Diceros bicornis minor: one gene and its partner. The protein of the gene in region 2 interacts with the protein of the main gene of each other region in a pairwise test. Links are inferred from orthologs where the notes say so. Each region holds a gene or a part of one and is shown on either strand. Other genes may lie near its edges.

What was found.
Region 1: the proteins of NFYA (region 2) and GTF2A1 interact in binary tests that used the Homo sapiens proteins (3 or more experiments, as listed by UniProt). The two-hybrid records come from large-scale screens. The link is inferred for Diceros bicornis minor from reciprocal best matches to the Homo sapiens genes NFYA and GTF2A1.

The regions. Positions count from the first base shown.
Region 1 is NC_080763.1:28,584,991-28,592,490, forward strand, and holds the start of GTF2A1 (transcription initiation factor IIA subunit 1), read right to left. Parts: upstream 3,018-7,500; 5' UTR 2,598-3,017; coding exon 2,568-2,597; intron 1-2,567. UniProt on the Homo sapiens protein: TFIIA is a component of the transcription machinery of RNA polymerase II and plays an important role in transcriptional activation. TFIIA in a complex with TBP mediates transcriptional activity.
Region 2 is NC_080753.1:24,261,625-24,269,627, forward strand, and holds the start of NFYA (nuclear transcription factor Y subunit alpha), read right to left. Parts: upstream 3,011-8,003; 5' UTR 2,921-3,010; exon of another isoform or gene 2,370-2,920; intron 1-2,369. Other genes in the region: ADP-ribose glycohydrolase OARD1, read left to right, coding at 4,255-4,293, 4,650-4,794, 5,829-5,887, 6,901-7,013. UniProt on the Homo sapiens protein: Component of the sequence-specific heterotrimeric transcription factor (NF-Y) which specifically recognizes a 5'-CCAAT-3' box motif found in the promoters of its target genes.

The DNA of each region.
Region 1 (7,500 bases), on a different chromosome or scaffold from region 2:
AAAAATCTTCTGCTTGGAGGTCTAGACATTTATAGGTAACAAATGTGCTTTCCTTCTGGCACTCCCTATTTAATGTATCAACCTTGCTTTAATAAGATTTTGCTTTTGTGCCTTAATTAACCCAAAACTTGAGCACTTCATGGATTCATAAGCACTACAGTTGAAAGAAGGGAAATGTGTATTCTTCATGAAGTATACACATAAAGAATAATTTAAGGGGCTGGCCCGGTGGCGCAAGCGGTTAAGTGCGCGCGCTCCGCTGCGGCGGCCCGGGGTTCGCTGGTTCGGATCCCGGGCGCGCACCGACGCACTGCTTGGTAAGCCATGCTGTGGCGGCGTCCCATATAAAGTGGAGGAAGATAGGCACCGATGTTAGCCCAGGGCCGTCTTCCTCAGCAAAAAAAGAGGAGGATTGGCGGATGTTAGCTCAGGGCTGATCGCCTCACAAAAAAAAAAAAAAAAAAAAAAAAGAATAATTTAAGAGAATTGTTCATAAGTTGAAAAGCCCTTAAAATCCTGATGTTTTTAGAAGTATGTGGGTACACAGGCACTATTTGAAATACGCAATTTCCAAATTATTATTTAAAATGCTAAACTTGCCTTGAGCCAAAGTTTTTACCTTTTACGAAATAAAAAGTCATTTAAGAGGTTTGTCATGGTTTTCAAAAAACACATATTTCAAACCTAAAAACTGGTAATTTCAAGGGCCATTAGTAGCATTATCTAATGATTCATTAGAAGGTTCCTTTCAAAAGTGTTAGTCCCCCATGCAATACTGGAAAACAAACTGGATTAATTTCTCTATTGGATATCACACTAATATCCAATTCAATAAAAACCTTGTCTGCTCAGAATTTTAATTTTTTAAAATCCAGTTTGCAGTTAAAGCCTCCTCACTTTCATTACTCACAATTCCCCTACACAGAAATGTACTGTGGATATAGGTGCTACGTTGAAGCTTCAGGCACTTATCTACTTCTTTGAACAGCTTCGTGTCTCCGCTATTTATTATAAGAAAACATAATGAAATATTAGGAGCTAGATTCTAACACATTTCCTGAATACTTGATGAACACAATACTACCAAAGTCAAGTCCTTTGCAGCTAACAGTTAACGTAGAAAGCACTTTTTTTCCATTCCCGACAATAATGTAGGCATCTTGTAATACAAGAACGATTAGACATCTGACCTAAAATTATCTCTAAAAACAAAAATAAAACTAAAAAGGAAAGCAATTCTCTTTTCCCCTAACAAAGACGGCAAATCCCAGCGGCTGCACCACAACAAAAACTTGGGGCTCTGAAAGCAGCCCCCGTTGGGTGCGAACATGACAGGCTAAGGAAAGGACCTAGAAATAAATCGAGCTCTGCACGCGCCTGCCTCTCGCGTCGGGAGCACGCACCTCCCAGCCCCGCTCTCAGCAGCTCTCACTATTTAAAGCCGGATCTGGTGTTTAAATGGAGAGGCGGTGACGTAGGCCTGAAAAGCACCTTCCCATCCTGGCAGAGTCTATATTAGAGAGCGGCAATGGCTCTATATAAACAGGGCAGCCAAAGGGAGGAGGACCACAAGGCTCAGGGACTGAAAAGCCGGGTAAGCGGCCGCAGCCATGATGGATCGACCCGAGTCGCCAACGGTACGGAGTCGGGCGGCCGCGGGCAGGTCTGCGGCATTTGGGACCGGGCAAAAACGTGTTTTATTGTCACAATAAAAATAAGAGAGTGGGGTGGACGAGTGATCACATTGCGTTGGTGACTGAAAAGGTTCTTTATGTGACTGCTTTTTGCAAACCTACGTGATCGCAAGTAACCAAAAAGGGACGAACGGGGAGAAGTAGGCAAATTGCAAGGCGAAAGCGGGGGCACTTTGACCACTGTAGGCTTTTTTTTGTTTGTTTTGGTGCTTTTGCTAGTCGAAGATACGATGGGGGTTTTGCTTCCCCTTCGCCATTTTACCGATTCGGAAGGAACCGAGATAAGTGCTTTTCAACCTTCGTCCTTTTTTAAAAAAAAAAAAAACATAAAATGGCCCCAGCGAAGGCTCCCTAAGCACAACAGCCAGAAACACCCCAAGTTCCCCCCCGAAGTAGCCATCAACGTTCCACTGCAGGAAAGTGGATCGCGGTGGGTCTTGGGGATTCGCCCAATTCCCCAGACCCGGTTTTTGTTTGGAGGCGGCTCGGGGAGCCCTTCTCGAGCCGGCGCGGCCGGGCCCACTTCGGGGGCAGCGGCGGCTCCCCTCCCGCCCTCCCCCCCGGCGGCCGGGGTCTGGGGCCGGGGCCGCGCACTCGCCCCGGCCCAACCGCCTCCGCGGCCCCAGGCCCCGCCGGCACCCCCGCCCTCCCGCCGCCGCCGCCGCCGCCGCCGCGAGCCCTCGGCGCCCCCCCGCGCCCGCCGCCCGGCGCCCCGGCCCGCTCCGCCCGAGGCGGGAAGCGGCGGCGGCGGTGGCCGCGCGGGCGGCTGAGGAGAGTCGAGGCCGGGAGTCGCCGCCGTCCCCGCCCCCGCCCGGTCCGGCCGTTGCTGCCGCCTGGACGAAGCCCCCGCCGGCCACCGCACCACGTCCTTACCACGGTGTTTGTATTTGCCGAGTTCGCCATTTCCACACACAACACAAACAAGAGGGGAGCAACCCCGAGAAAACAAGAGAAAAACAAAACCAAAAAAAAGAAAAAGAAAAAACCGAAACACCCAGAGGGTGACCCAAGCCACCGCAAGATGGGGGGGAAAAATTTTTCAACAAAATCGGATCCTGAAGGAGTAGAGGGGAGCGGTGAGAGGAGAGGGGGAGGTGGAGGAGGGGGGCAGTCCTCCCGGAGCTAAAAACCTCGAGAATCGCCCTTAAAAAAAAAAAACCACGACCCTTTGGGGGGTCCGGGGGGCGTTGCCCGCTCCCCACCCCGCGCCCAGGAGGGAACCACCACCGGTCGCCGCTCCCCGCGCCGCCGCTGCCGCCACCGGCTGCAGCTCCAGCCGTCCGGTCCGCCCGCTTCTCCCCTTTATATAGCGAGCCAACGAGCTGCGCGAGCCACCGCCGCCGCCGCTGCCGCCGAGAGACAGGGCGGAGGGGGAGGGAGGGGCGGAAAGGGCGGGGGCACAGGTGGGCGGGGCTCAGCGCGAGACACCGCGAGAGCCGCGTGCGCAGGCGCGCCGGGGCGGTGGCCGCCGCGAGTCGCGTCGTCACGCGCCGTGGAGGGTGCTGGGCAGGCGGAGCCCGGGGTCTGGTGTACTGAAGTCGGACCGCTGCCTCCCCAAGTCTCGCGTGATCACGTGGTTGGCACGCAGGCGGAAGTTCGGCGGCTCGTTTGGGGTGAGGAGCTTGCAAACCACTGCCGGGAAAGGCGTGAGTTTTGGTGATACTCGAGTCCAAAGCTTGCTGGGACCGCCTCCTCTCAGGCGTTGTTGCGCCGTCCCACGCTGGAGGAGCTAGGAAATGTGGAAGGGGCGGTGGGGGCTGCCTCGTTAGGAATGGCCGCGGAGGAGGACCAGTCACGTGGACCAGCTTCCGGCCCCTGGCGCGCTTGGACTCAGGGCAGAGTTTTAAACGCGGAGTCACGTCAGAGCGTGATCTCGGCTTAGACTGAGAGCTTTGAGGCGTTCGCGCCTTCCGCCGAGGGTTGGCCTTTCGCTTGCAAAGTTGTGTACGTGTTCCTAAAGGGGATGAATGCTGATTTGGGCCTACTGTTAACACATTCCAGAATTAATAACCCCTAAAACCGGCTGAGTTGTTTGTCTCAAGTACAGCTACAAAGTCTTTGGATTTAAGTTCCCCAAAGGTTCGGCCCCTACCAGCCCACGTACTTAAATGATTTCTGATAGTAGTGGAAATGCCAAAAAAAGCAAAACGAAACACCGACCACAGGGTTATGACAGCATGATAACCTTCCCTGTTTTTTTAACCTACTGCCAAAATTCTGTGTCTCCACATAGCCAGCATGTAGTGACTAACATCTGAAATACTTGACCTTGGCCAACCAACTCACACGGCTCCTCGCTGCCAGAGAGCGGGCAGAAACTGTCCAGGTCTTGGAGTGCAATTCTATAGGCGTTTGACCTGCTCTGCTCCACCAAATCCCGCCTTTATATCAACATTTCACGCAGAACAGAGAATGCTCTGTTTAGAAGGCAGAAGTCACAGTACCTAATTTTCTTGTCCCTAGGAATTTCAAGAGACATGGAATGGGTGGTCTGGACAAGTGAGGGAGTTTATCCTAAAAGGCAAAGCAAAACAAAACGTCAAAAGTTCTATGCCACTGAAACCAGATGTGAAGAATATCAAAGGCGTCCTACCAGAGAGAGGAAAAGGTGCAATCCGCCAGGACTTGAAGGAAGAGATTAATGAAAGCAGGCCGTTAATACTCAGAAAATGGGAAGTTGTGGATAGTTTGTGAATGGGTATAGAAAATATCTGTTAATCTTGAGATTTCTTTTAACACCATCTGATCGAACAACATCCTCTTAACACTCGCTTCTTAGTTCCCTGCACAGCTGCCTGTTTGGGGGCACTTAAGAAAAAAAAAATTCGCAGGAAATCATAGTGTTCTTGATATATAACATTATGATTCCATCCACATTTGTAATTCATTTAATATTCAGGTGACTATGAGCCTGAAAAATTTTACTAAACAATACCATTCCTGGTAAATTTCACTGCTTGTTATTTTAAGAAGACTTCTTGTTACCTCCTGTATGTACTGTGTGCACGTGGAATCCCTCACCTTCCACCTTATTTTCTTCCTTACCACTGGGTATTCTTAACTAAATGATCAAATGTTTTGCTATCCGTTAAAATTAAGACTACTGCAGACAGGACATGGCAAAGAATCTATGAGATTTGTTCTCCACACAATTATTCCTAAGGGGGTTGATGACAGATATGCCCTGATTGGGTCTGACCTTTGAAACAATAGGATATAGTTACTGCATTAAAAAGGCAGAAAACCCAGTCCTGGCTCCTTAAGACCTTCGGACTCCCAGGAGGCTCCTCTGAGTCCACTTCTCTCTTTACACACTAAATTGCAACAATGCCTAAACACTTGGTTAATATTTACCCAGATCCCCCCCCCCCCCCCCCCCCGTATGCCTGGCATCTAAGTATCATGGATTCCATTCCAATTTATTGTTTTCCAACCTTCAGTTAGCTATAATATGCTGTCAATCACAATATACGTGTGCCAACCAGTTTAGTTTCAGAAAGAGATATTCTCTGATCTTGCACCAGAAGAGTGGGTCTGAATAGTTTGGAGGCTACAGCTCTTTGGTTCACAAAAGTGAAAATTTGTGAACAGAAAACTCCTCCCATGTAAGACTGAATTTAGCAACATATTTAAATTGTTTTTATCTGAACTTTTTCTTCTTTGTGCCCTAAAGCTTAAAGAACTTTTCTAATTTTAGCGGCTCTTTATACCATATAGGAAACGTTTATACTGGAATTTTAGTTTGTGAACTCATACTTTGTAACAGCCGTATACTTAGACAGATACATAATAGTGTTCTCTTTGTGATGAATCTTTTTTTTTTTACTTCAAAATGTTTTATATTGGAGAATAAGAGTTACTTCTTTCTTTTAATATTAATATTCTGCCAAAACACTGGATAATTGCCAAGCAAAAGAAGAAAAGGAAAAATTCAATGGATAAATTTTAATATTACCATAAACAAAATGACATCAAACCTTATATGTCCAAACATTTAAATGTTTTATTGTCCAAATGACTATTTAAGCAACAATGCCAAGAAAAAAGAAAATCTAAAAAGACTGACTGCTCTGGAAATTAGCTTAAACTAAACTCTCATATGACTTCCCTTCAGCCTCCATGTTCTTAAATAGTAAAATGAATAAATCAGGCAAATTATCTGGCATATTTAAGGATCTTGCAGCCCTTATATGCTCAATAGTATTGGACACTTTAGGAGGATACAAAAGTAAAGAGGAAAGATCTTATATCTCAAGCTTACTAATCCTAATGAAGGTTTCTATTGTAAAGTGGTGCATAATTACAGCATTCATTCAAGATAATAAAAGCACTGATGTATTTCAGTCCTACCAAAAAAATTATGCTCTATTCAGATTTCAGTTAATTTTTAGGCCTTTACAAAAAAACTGTTGATTTCCACACGCAGTAATTTTTGATGCAATATGTAGGAAGAAATTGCTGATCACACAAATTACCTCTATATATATGAGGAGGAGATTTTTAAAAATCTTTAATGTTCTCTTCCTCTCTTCTAACTTATAGTTTGAAATTGCTACTGCATGTCTTAAAACAGCAACTAACTTGCAATTATTTTCTGTATACCAAAATAAAAGCGAGTTTGTTAGCAAAAACAAATTAACTTAGTGTGTACAGAGTGCAGTCTTTGTGGAATCAGGCTTGACTCTGCCATTACTTTACTGTGTGACCTTCTGCAGTAACTAAATCTCTCTGTGTTGATAAGATGGAATAAAAACCACTGCATATGATTGTTGGGAAGATCAAAGCTACTAGAAAATGCTTTAATAAGTATTTGGTGGATGTTTTTATTATTTATGGTAAGTGTATAACAGCTACATCAACAACATCAAAATGGGGGAAAGGTCTTTTTAACTCACTTTGTAGAACACTACCATTAGATTTTAATAATGCTGTTAATCATTGATGATTAGTTTATCCATAAGAACTTTGGCCAAATTTTGATACCTCAAGTGATGAGTATACCACTTTTTGTATGTAAATACAGTAATTATATGCTATCATGAGATACAGACACCTTAGCTGAATGCTGATTTATCGGTTGCAGTTCATCAAGTTGCTTAGTTACACATGTGCCTGATTATATCTAGCAAAATTACATATGAATTTGCCATTGACCCAGCAATACCAGTTCTAGGACTCTGTGCCTAGAACACTCATGTGTTGCTTAACAATGAGGATACATTCTGAGAAATGCCTAGTTGGGCAATTTTGTTGTGCAAACAGCATAGGGTGTGCTTACACACACCTAGATGACATAGCCTACTACACACCTAGGCTATATGGGACTAACCTTATGGGACCACCATATATATGCGGCCCATTTTTCATCAAACCGACCTTATGCGGCACATGACTGTAGTGGCAAAAATATGAAAAGATGTATGCTCAGGACTATTCATTATGGGACTTCTTGTAACACTAAAAGAATGGAAATACCCCCACATGTGCGTATAAGGAGATTGGTTAGATAAATTATGGTGCTTATGTACATGGAATACAATGCAGCTGTAACAAGGAATGAGGACTATCTCTATATACCACTATGGAAGGATCTTCAAAATGTAGTGTTACGTGACAAAAGCAAAGTAGAGAAAAGTTTTCTTTGTATGCTACTGTTTAAGAAAATGGGAACTATAAAAATGTGTAAACACTTGCTTCCATTAAAAAAAAAGGAAAAATAAAACAATTTTTTTTTTCAAAAGGGTTATTTTTAAGGACAATGAGAAAACAGTGTGAAGAAGACGGGAATAGAAGCTAGACTTATTTA
Region 2 (8,003 bases):
CGTATCACAAATCACTGCACACACAACATATAAAAAAAGTAACTGAAACAAACGTTTCACGAATACTTATCTTTATGTAACATAAGATGCACTTTGATATTTTCTATTTTATTACAAAAAAATATCAGCATTGGCCCACTAAATTGATTTCACAATGCAACCAATGGGTCCTGATCTGTTTGATAAAAGATTAGAGAACACAGCGTGTCCAGCTTCTGCACTGTCTGAGGTTTCTGGATTGGAGTTCCTAATTTGCTCCTCCTCTCCACTAATGATGTGCCAGACACTGTCCTGAAGGTTTCAGAAATAAAAAGAAAACTCTGACAAAGATTCTAACTTCAAAGAGTCTTTAAGTTTAGTGAAGGGGTAAAAATGTACTAGAACCCTAAAAGAGGAAGAAGGTAATACGGGATTTTGGAGAACAGAGATTTCTCTGTGAGGACAGAGATTTCTTCCTGCTGGGAATAGAAAAATCAAGAAAAGCTTTAGGAAAACGTGACATCTGACCTGGTCTTAAGTGTGAGGAGGATTTATACTATATGATGATGTGGGAGGGGGCAGAGTACTCCAAACGAAGAGAGAGCATAAAAACAAGGACAGAAAAATTTCAGCATAGAACAGTAGACTAAAAGGCCCCATGTCAAGAGAAGGCTGGCGGCTAGACCACTGTTCTCAAAATTCCAGGCAAAGAAGTTCTTCTTGCAGACAGGTGGAGGCCCTAGAGGTGTTCAGCAAAAAAGTGACCAGACTATAACTGCCTTCTAGAAAGAAGTCTAGTGAAAGTGTTGGATGGTTGTCAAGTGACCAGATATACCTGTTTTTGAATACCAACGTTAAAATATCTATTCCAAAGGCAAATCTAAGTGTTCTAAAAATTATCTAAGACATGCTTCTCCTTTAATATGGATAATGTAGCGAGAATTAAATGAATTTAAGAAAACGATTTAAACAATGAAAAACATTCTAAAAAGTGAAAACAAAAACTGTTTCCAAAGTTTGACAAGTAGAGAGAGCACTGGACTAGTTGTTTTCTGAAACCTACCAGTTGTATGATCTTAGTAAACGTGATTATAAAAATGGGCACCATATACTGAAGACCTACTCTGTGTGCCAGCGACTGCACTAGGTGCTTCAAAGGAGTCAAAACTTTTCAAGGCCTAGGAGAAAAATCTCCCTCTCTTCCCCCAAAGAAGTCAGCTGCTGTTACCGGGCAGAACCCCACAAATCAGAAACTTGTTTTTCCAATCTTAGAAAAAAACATACTTCTAGATTTCTTCTATCTGAACCTCCACAAAATAACTGCTTCCGCAAAATTCCTCATCAAGATATACAAATGCTCGTACTAACTCGGCTTTCCAGTCTCAACTCGCACCAGCATTGCCCACTGCCCTATCCTATCTTCGCCTCAAACGCACGGCACAATTTGCTCTTTTCTTTGTGAGCAACGCTCTTCCATTCTTTCCTGTCCGAAAAAATACTATCGTCCTTCATGGCCAATCGAAAGTGTGGCGATGTTGAGCCTTCCACGGAGGCTGTTGGTAGCTCACACATCAGTCCTTCACTGAACTCAACTTGGCCCCGTTACAGCACCAGCCGTTAGGTACTAATCAGCTGTTCACCTGTCAATCTCCACCAGGCGGAAAAGGTTCTTATTTCCCTCTACCTACTTGCTCCCCAGGACACAGATCTATGCCCGCTGGATACTAACTGCTGGAGACGTGGTTGTCAATGGAGAGTCCCTTCCACCCTAACGAAAACCCCACAACACTAAGTTTCTATAAACATCTGCTAAGAAAACGTTAACACGGGATTAGAAAGTATATTAGAAAAAAAGTAAACCAAGACATGGCTATGAACTGAGCTAAGAGACAAGCCTTACACATTCAAAGCGACACAAAGGTGAAAGAAAAAAACTGTACATTCCCAAGGACGGGAGAGTTCACAAGACGAGCAGTGGGTAACACTAGTATGAAAAGCAGGTTGTGCAGCCTTCGGGAAAAGGAATGAGCAGGGCTAACAGTCTTCTACGATGAGGTTCCAAGCACCGAATGGACTGGCCTTACAGCCCAGCCGAGAAACGGAGACCGCTTGGTTGGACTCCAAGCCGGAGGTGTGCGGTGCTGCCCCGGGAGCGGGGCGGGGAGGAGAGGAAATGACGAGCCAAAAGGGGGTGGTAACGGCGCGGGGCCGAAGACCCGGGCCGAGCGTGCGGGAGGGGCGGCGGGGCAGGGGAGTGGGCGCACTAACGGACCCCTCCCCGGCCGGGGAGACGGCGGGGAGGGCCCGCGGGGCGCCGGGGGGGGCCCGCCCCCTCTCCCGCCGCACCCGGGGCCCTGTGGCCGCCGCGTGCGTCCTACCCAGGGCCCCCTCCCGACCCCAGAGGGCTGCAAACGGCAGACGCGGCTCACGGAGGGCTGGGGACGCGGGCCCCGCGGGGAGGACTGCCCGGCCCGAGGACCGGAGCGTGGAAGATGCAAGGGCAGGCTTAAGTGTGAGGCCCGACCGACCGGCAGGAAACGGCCGAGGCCCCGGGCACGTGTGTGCGCCGGAGCGGAGGAGCATCCGTGGCAGGCAAGCCCACCACTCCGAGCCTGGGGTCTGAGACCCTGGGCCTAAGTCTCGGGGGACGAGGACGCATCCCCAACCGGCACCAGCACCCCGCCGGGGTCTGGACCCCGAGGTGCCGGCTCCCGAGGGCGCCATGCCCGCACGGGGCGGCCCCCTGCAGGCCTCGGCCGGGAGTGCCCCGGGGCGCTCGCAGGCTCCGGGGCCGCACCGCCAGCCGCCCGGCTCGGCGAGGCTCAGCTCGACTCCCCGGGCTCGACGGGAGCCTGGGCCTCTCCTGAGTGGTCAGCGAGACCCGCCAATCGGGGCGCTGGGGCCGGCTCTGGGCCGCTGGATATTGGCTCCTCACGCTCACCGTGCTTCGCTCCCCCGGTTCGCTGCCCGCGCTGATTGGCTCCAGTACCGGACCCCGAAACCCAATCAGAGGCTCCAGCCGCCGCTGCCGCCGCCACTGCCGCTGCCTCGCAAAATGGCGAACCCGAACAAAGGGGAATCGGGCCTCCCTCCAACCGCCTCCGCGCAGGCGCCTCTGAGACCACGCCCACTAGCCTCTGCTCGGGGCTCGCCCCACCCCCACCTGAAGGAGCATTGCGCAGGCGTCCCCTGCGGCCACGCCCACTTCCCCGATTTGACACCACCCCCCCGCCGAAGGATTACGCAGGCGCCTTCTGGAAGCGCCAGACCCTTCGACTCAAACACCGCCCTGAACATAGTACTACGCAGGCGCTAACTAGCTCCTGTGCCAACTGCCCTCCCCCTTCTATGCGGCCACTGGAGACACACCCCTGGGGCTAATGCGCAAGCGCCGTTCTGCCCCGTTCGCGGTGGGCTGTGTCGTTACGCATGCCCGGGCGGCGGCGGGAGACTCCGCGGAATTTACCGCCGGAAGTTCGGCGGCCACGACCAAAGAGTGGAGGTTCGGCTAGTTAGCTAGAGGGGCTCGTTTCCGCCCCGCTCCCGGGGTTGGGCGGCCATCTTAGGCGCGCGCAATTAAAGGCTGTGGCGGGATTGGTCCCGCGTCTGGGCTCGTCCCCCGCTCCCCACCTACCAGGGCCGGATCCGGAGCCCTTCCCCGCGGGGCGGGACTCCTAACGGCCGCCTCCTTTTCAGGTGAAGGGTAATCGCGGGACGTTGGGACTCTGGGCGAGCCTCCTCGCTCCCTCCCGCGGGACTCCAGGACAGGCCCCACGCCCTCGCTGACCCGCCTTGGGGTAGGAAAAGGGGAGGTTCTCTAGACTCCTTCCCCCCAAAAAAAGAGGAGGTGAGCCTTCCCCGTCCCCTGCTTGCGGCTCGGCGGGACACTCCCCCCGGCCGGTGCACTCCCTCGTTGCGGCTTAAGGGGACTGTGGCCAGGTCATTCCTTTTTGCTTCTAGGCCAGATCCACTGGGGAAATGCTTGTGCGCGGTGCAGGAAAAAGGAGATTGTCCTAAACCCGCCTGGCTCGGGCGGGAGAAGGGAGGAGGCGTGGCTCGGGAGGCAGGCTGCTGCTGCTTGCACCAGAGAGTTTTGTGTTACTTTCTAGAGGCCGAACGCACTCAAATTCAGCGATAAACGTTGGGGGGGAAAATTATTAAGTGCGTGGTCGGGGCAATCTGAATGTATAATATGTTCAGGCTGCCTAAGCATCCTAGCTTCCTTTTCCTTCTCATAGCTGAAGAAACACATTCTGGAAATAGCCACTCAGTATCATGGCCGGCAGCCCTAATGAAGATCCTGAAGGAAGCAGAGTGCGTAACAACTATTAACTTATTGCTGAACTGAAGTTCAGAAAGATTGAGGTCAAATGCATAAACACTTTTTAATTAAAGCAATAATTGAATTGCCTTTTTTTTTTCTCTTTCCAGCTGATTTACTTCTGAAAGGCTAATACAGTGCTAGGCAGAGACCATCCAGCTCTTGCCTTTTACACGTGCTTTAATTCGTGGTCGTTAACTCCTTAAATTAAATTCTGAGGATTTGGCTTTAAATCAAGGAGGGGCAGGGGAGGAGAGGGAGTGGGGGACACAGTAAAGGAAAATGAGAGAAATAGCTTAATATTTTTTTGAATCTAATAAAACATTTTCTTTCCTTTTGCACGTTTTAGATCACTTATGTGAAAGGAGACCTCTTTGCATGCCCCAAAACAGACTCTTTAGCGCACTGTATCAGTGAGGATTGTCGAATGGGTGCTGGGATAGCTGTCCTCTTCAAGAAGAAATTTGGAGGAGTGCAGGAACTGATAAATCAACGTGAGTTTTGAAAACAGCTTAAGTCTGCTGCCCTAGCTAGAGCATCTCTTGACCTCCTGTTATACTTTAATTATTAAACAAAATATACATGCAAAGAGGGAGTTCCTAATCGCTGAGTACTTTTAACTCTTCAGATTGTTTCCTCTACAGAAATGGCCTCTAGTCTGAGTCCTTATCACATCAAATCTGAATTGTAAAAGTTTCTAATCTCTTCCTCCTCTGTCATAAAACTTTCTTGATAATATTACTCCACTTCTCTGAAACCTTTAATAACTCTGAAGTGCTTAGCAAAGTCCACAGGTGTTAGCTTGGCATTCAAGATTCTCTCTTCATCCACATTGTACTTATTCTTCCAAGAGGAGTTTAGAAACCTCCTCTTCCTATACACACCCTCCCATCACTTTTCTACCAATGGTTTTAAACCGGAGATGTGTATTCACATCACTTGTGGAGCTTCTGAAACAGTTGCTCAGACCACAGTCCAGGCTTACGGAGTCAGTTTCCACTGATGATTCTGACCCCAGCCTTTAAAAGAGCAATTTCTTACTGCTTTGTATTGTAGTTATTTGTAAACATGACACCTACTCTTGATTGAAAACTGTTTAATTAGGAACTCTTTTATACCTCTGTTTCCCCATAATGCTTAACGTGTTAGCTTTTTGTATGTAAAAAAGATGATTATTGAATGAATACACATTTGGCAAGTAAAAAATGCTGTACATTCTAAAACATTTCAAAGCAGTAGACATAAAAGTTTCTTTAGTGAAGAAATAAGGATGTATTTGAAAATAGGGGCAGGAGAAAAGATGGGGTGAGAGGAAAACGATTAAGAAAGCTGGAAGTTAACGAATATAGTATTTAGGAAGGCGATAAGGAGCAAAATGTTCGTAGGAGACAGCAGGTTTCTTCAGAGTTGAAAATTATTTCTCCTGAGGTAAACTCAGATTTGTAAAGATTTTTTAAAAATCTAAGAGTGGAGATCAGTGTTTTGGTTTTCTTTTTTCTTTCTGCTATTAAATACCTGTTTTTCTTAGAAAAGAAATCTGGAGAAGTGGCTGTGCTGAAGAGAGATGGGCGATATATATATTACTTGGTAAGACGGGGCTGATTCTCAGTACGCTCTAAGGATTGGTGAACAAATGGGCTGTACTGCAATTGTGTTGATCGTGATGTTCCAGTCTAGACGAGCCAAGGATGTCAAAAGCTTCTGATCTCGATCCAGTGGTGGTGGCTGTTTGGAGCACTGGATTAGAAAGAACATGAGGCTGCATCCCAGCTCCATGGAAAGAGTACCGTGACATCCGCCAAAGGCCTGGGTTCTAAGACTTGCAGAAGTTAGGGATGCCTTCCGTACTTAATTCCTTCCTAATCATGGTGAGAGAGAAACAGTAGTGTCTCAAGAGACAGATTGTCCAAGGAGGTTTCTCTCTCATTCTTCCCTATCAAATCCAGGTAATACTCAGCTCCTTTCCCACCTGCTGCCTCAATGGGATTTTTCCACTGTCCAAGTGGTCTTCAGCCCCAGAAAGAGTGTGGTTTCTTGGTGATGGTGCTGGGTGACATACAGCCAGTTCACTATAAGCCTGATTTGGATAGCAGGCTGAGTGGGGACATGTCCTAGCCCCTTTGAATGCTGTCTTTAAGGCCGATGGGACTTCTGGTTTGGAATGCTACCAGTTTCTCTGTTCTCTTATAGAGAAACAAAAAGCAAGCAAGCACAGTTTCTAAATAAATAGACTTAACAGGAAATTTTCAGGTGGTATGGGTTCTTACAGATATGCAGCTTCTCTCTTGGAAGTGGCACAAAGGCTTGCACCTACCTTGCTTAAAAACACTAGACAATAGGCATAGCCTGCTAATCTCCTGGGCTTATTGGGAGAAGGAAAGAGTATTACATGGCAGTGTCTGGGTTTCTCAGGCCCTATTTAGTGGATTTTCCTGAGGGCCTCACATAACTGGAAGGGACAGTCTATGACATTTGTCATCCTTGCTCTAGACTATTCTATAAAAATATACTTAATTATCAGGATGTTGGGAGAATGTGATGGTTTTTCTTTGGCTATCATTTTGGATTAACAGAAGTTTGAATTTGTTCTTTGTACTCAGATTACAAAGAAAAGGGCTTCACACAAACCAACTTATGAAAACTTACGGAAGAGTTTAGAGGCCATGAAGTCCCATTGTCTGAAGAATGGAGTCACTGACCTCTCCATGCCCAGGCAAGGAAATCCAGGGCCCTAAATGAAGACTTAATTCAGGTGGTGGGGTTTACTGTCTTACCCGGAGACAAATGACTTAAAAGCTTAACTTAAGCCAAAATATAGACTTAAAGGTGGACAAATTTCAAAACTTTTTAAAATCACTAGTGAACCAGTTGTCAGGCCTTAAGTTAAGGCATACCTATTTCTTAGCCTGGGTTGAATGAATCAGGATGATTAAAACACACACCTGCCTCAGCCTACTTAGTAGGGAGGAACCATTGTTAGTCACCTTGGTTGAATTATGGGCATCCTCTATCTGAAGCTTAGCTGCTCTCTCTAAAGCAATATAAGCTAAAGAGCCAAGACTGAGCAATTGTGATTTCTCTGGGCCACTTCAGATGTCCCAAACCTGTTAATCCTATGTGAAGAAAGTTGTAAATTCTCACTGCCTTTTAAATTGCATGCTTGTTTGTGGTCAGCGTGGGTTGTAGCCAGAGAATATGTTCCTGATGTAACATTTTAGATCCCAGCTATTGAGAACTTAAGGGAATGACACTGAGGGTTCAGTATCCCCTTTGCTTCCTTTTCAGGAAATAGGCTTGGAGTCACCATTTCTTGTCTTCTCACTCTGGTTTTGAGTCAGTGCTGACCATGCAGGTTTATTCTAAGCCCAAGTTACTTTATGAATGTGGCTCAGGGTCCCTCATCTTACACTGATCTTAATATGTTCATGGCTTATGTATCAGGAACTTTTTTTTTAATCACAACTTTTGGGGGGACTTAATTATCCCATTATATGAAATTAGCAATTTTAAGCCTTTTGTTTTTCCCTGGGGATGTTGAGGGTCAATAATAACCTGTTGGAAGGAAGGTGCCAGGTAGTAGTGTTGTGGGCTGGTTGAAGTTTCCCACCAGCATGTTGAGAAGACCTGAATTGCAGTCAGCTTGGCATTTCGCAGCATTCCATCTCGACTTCGTTTTCACAGAGATCCTGTCCTTTGTCCCTCT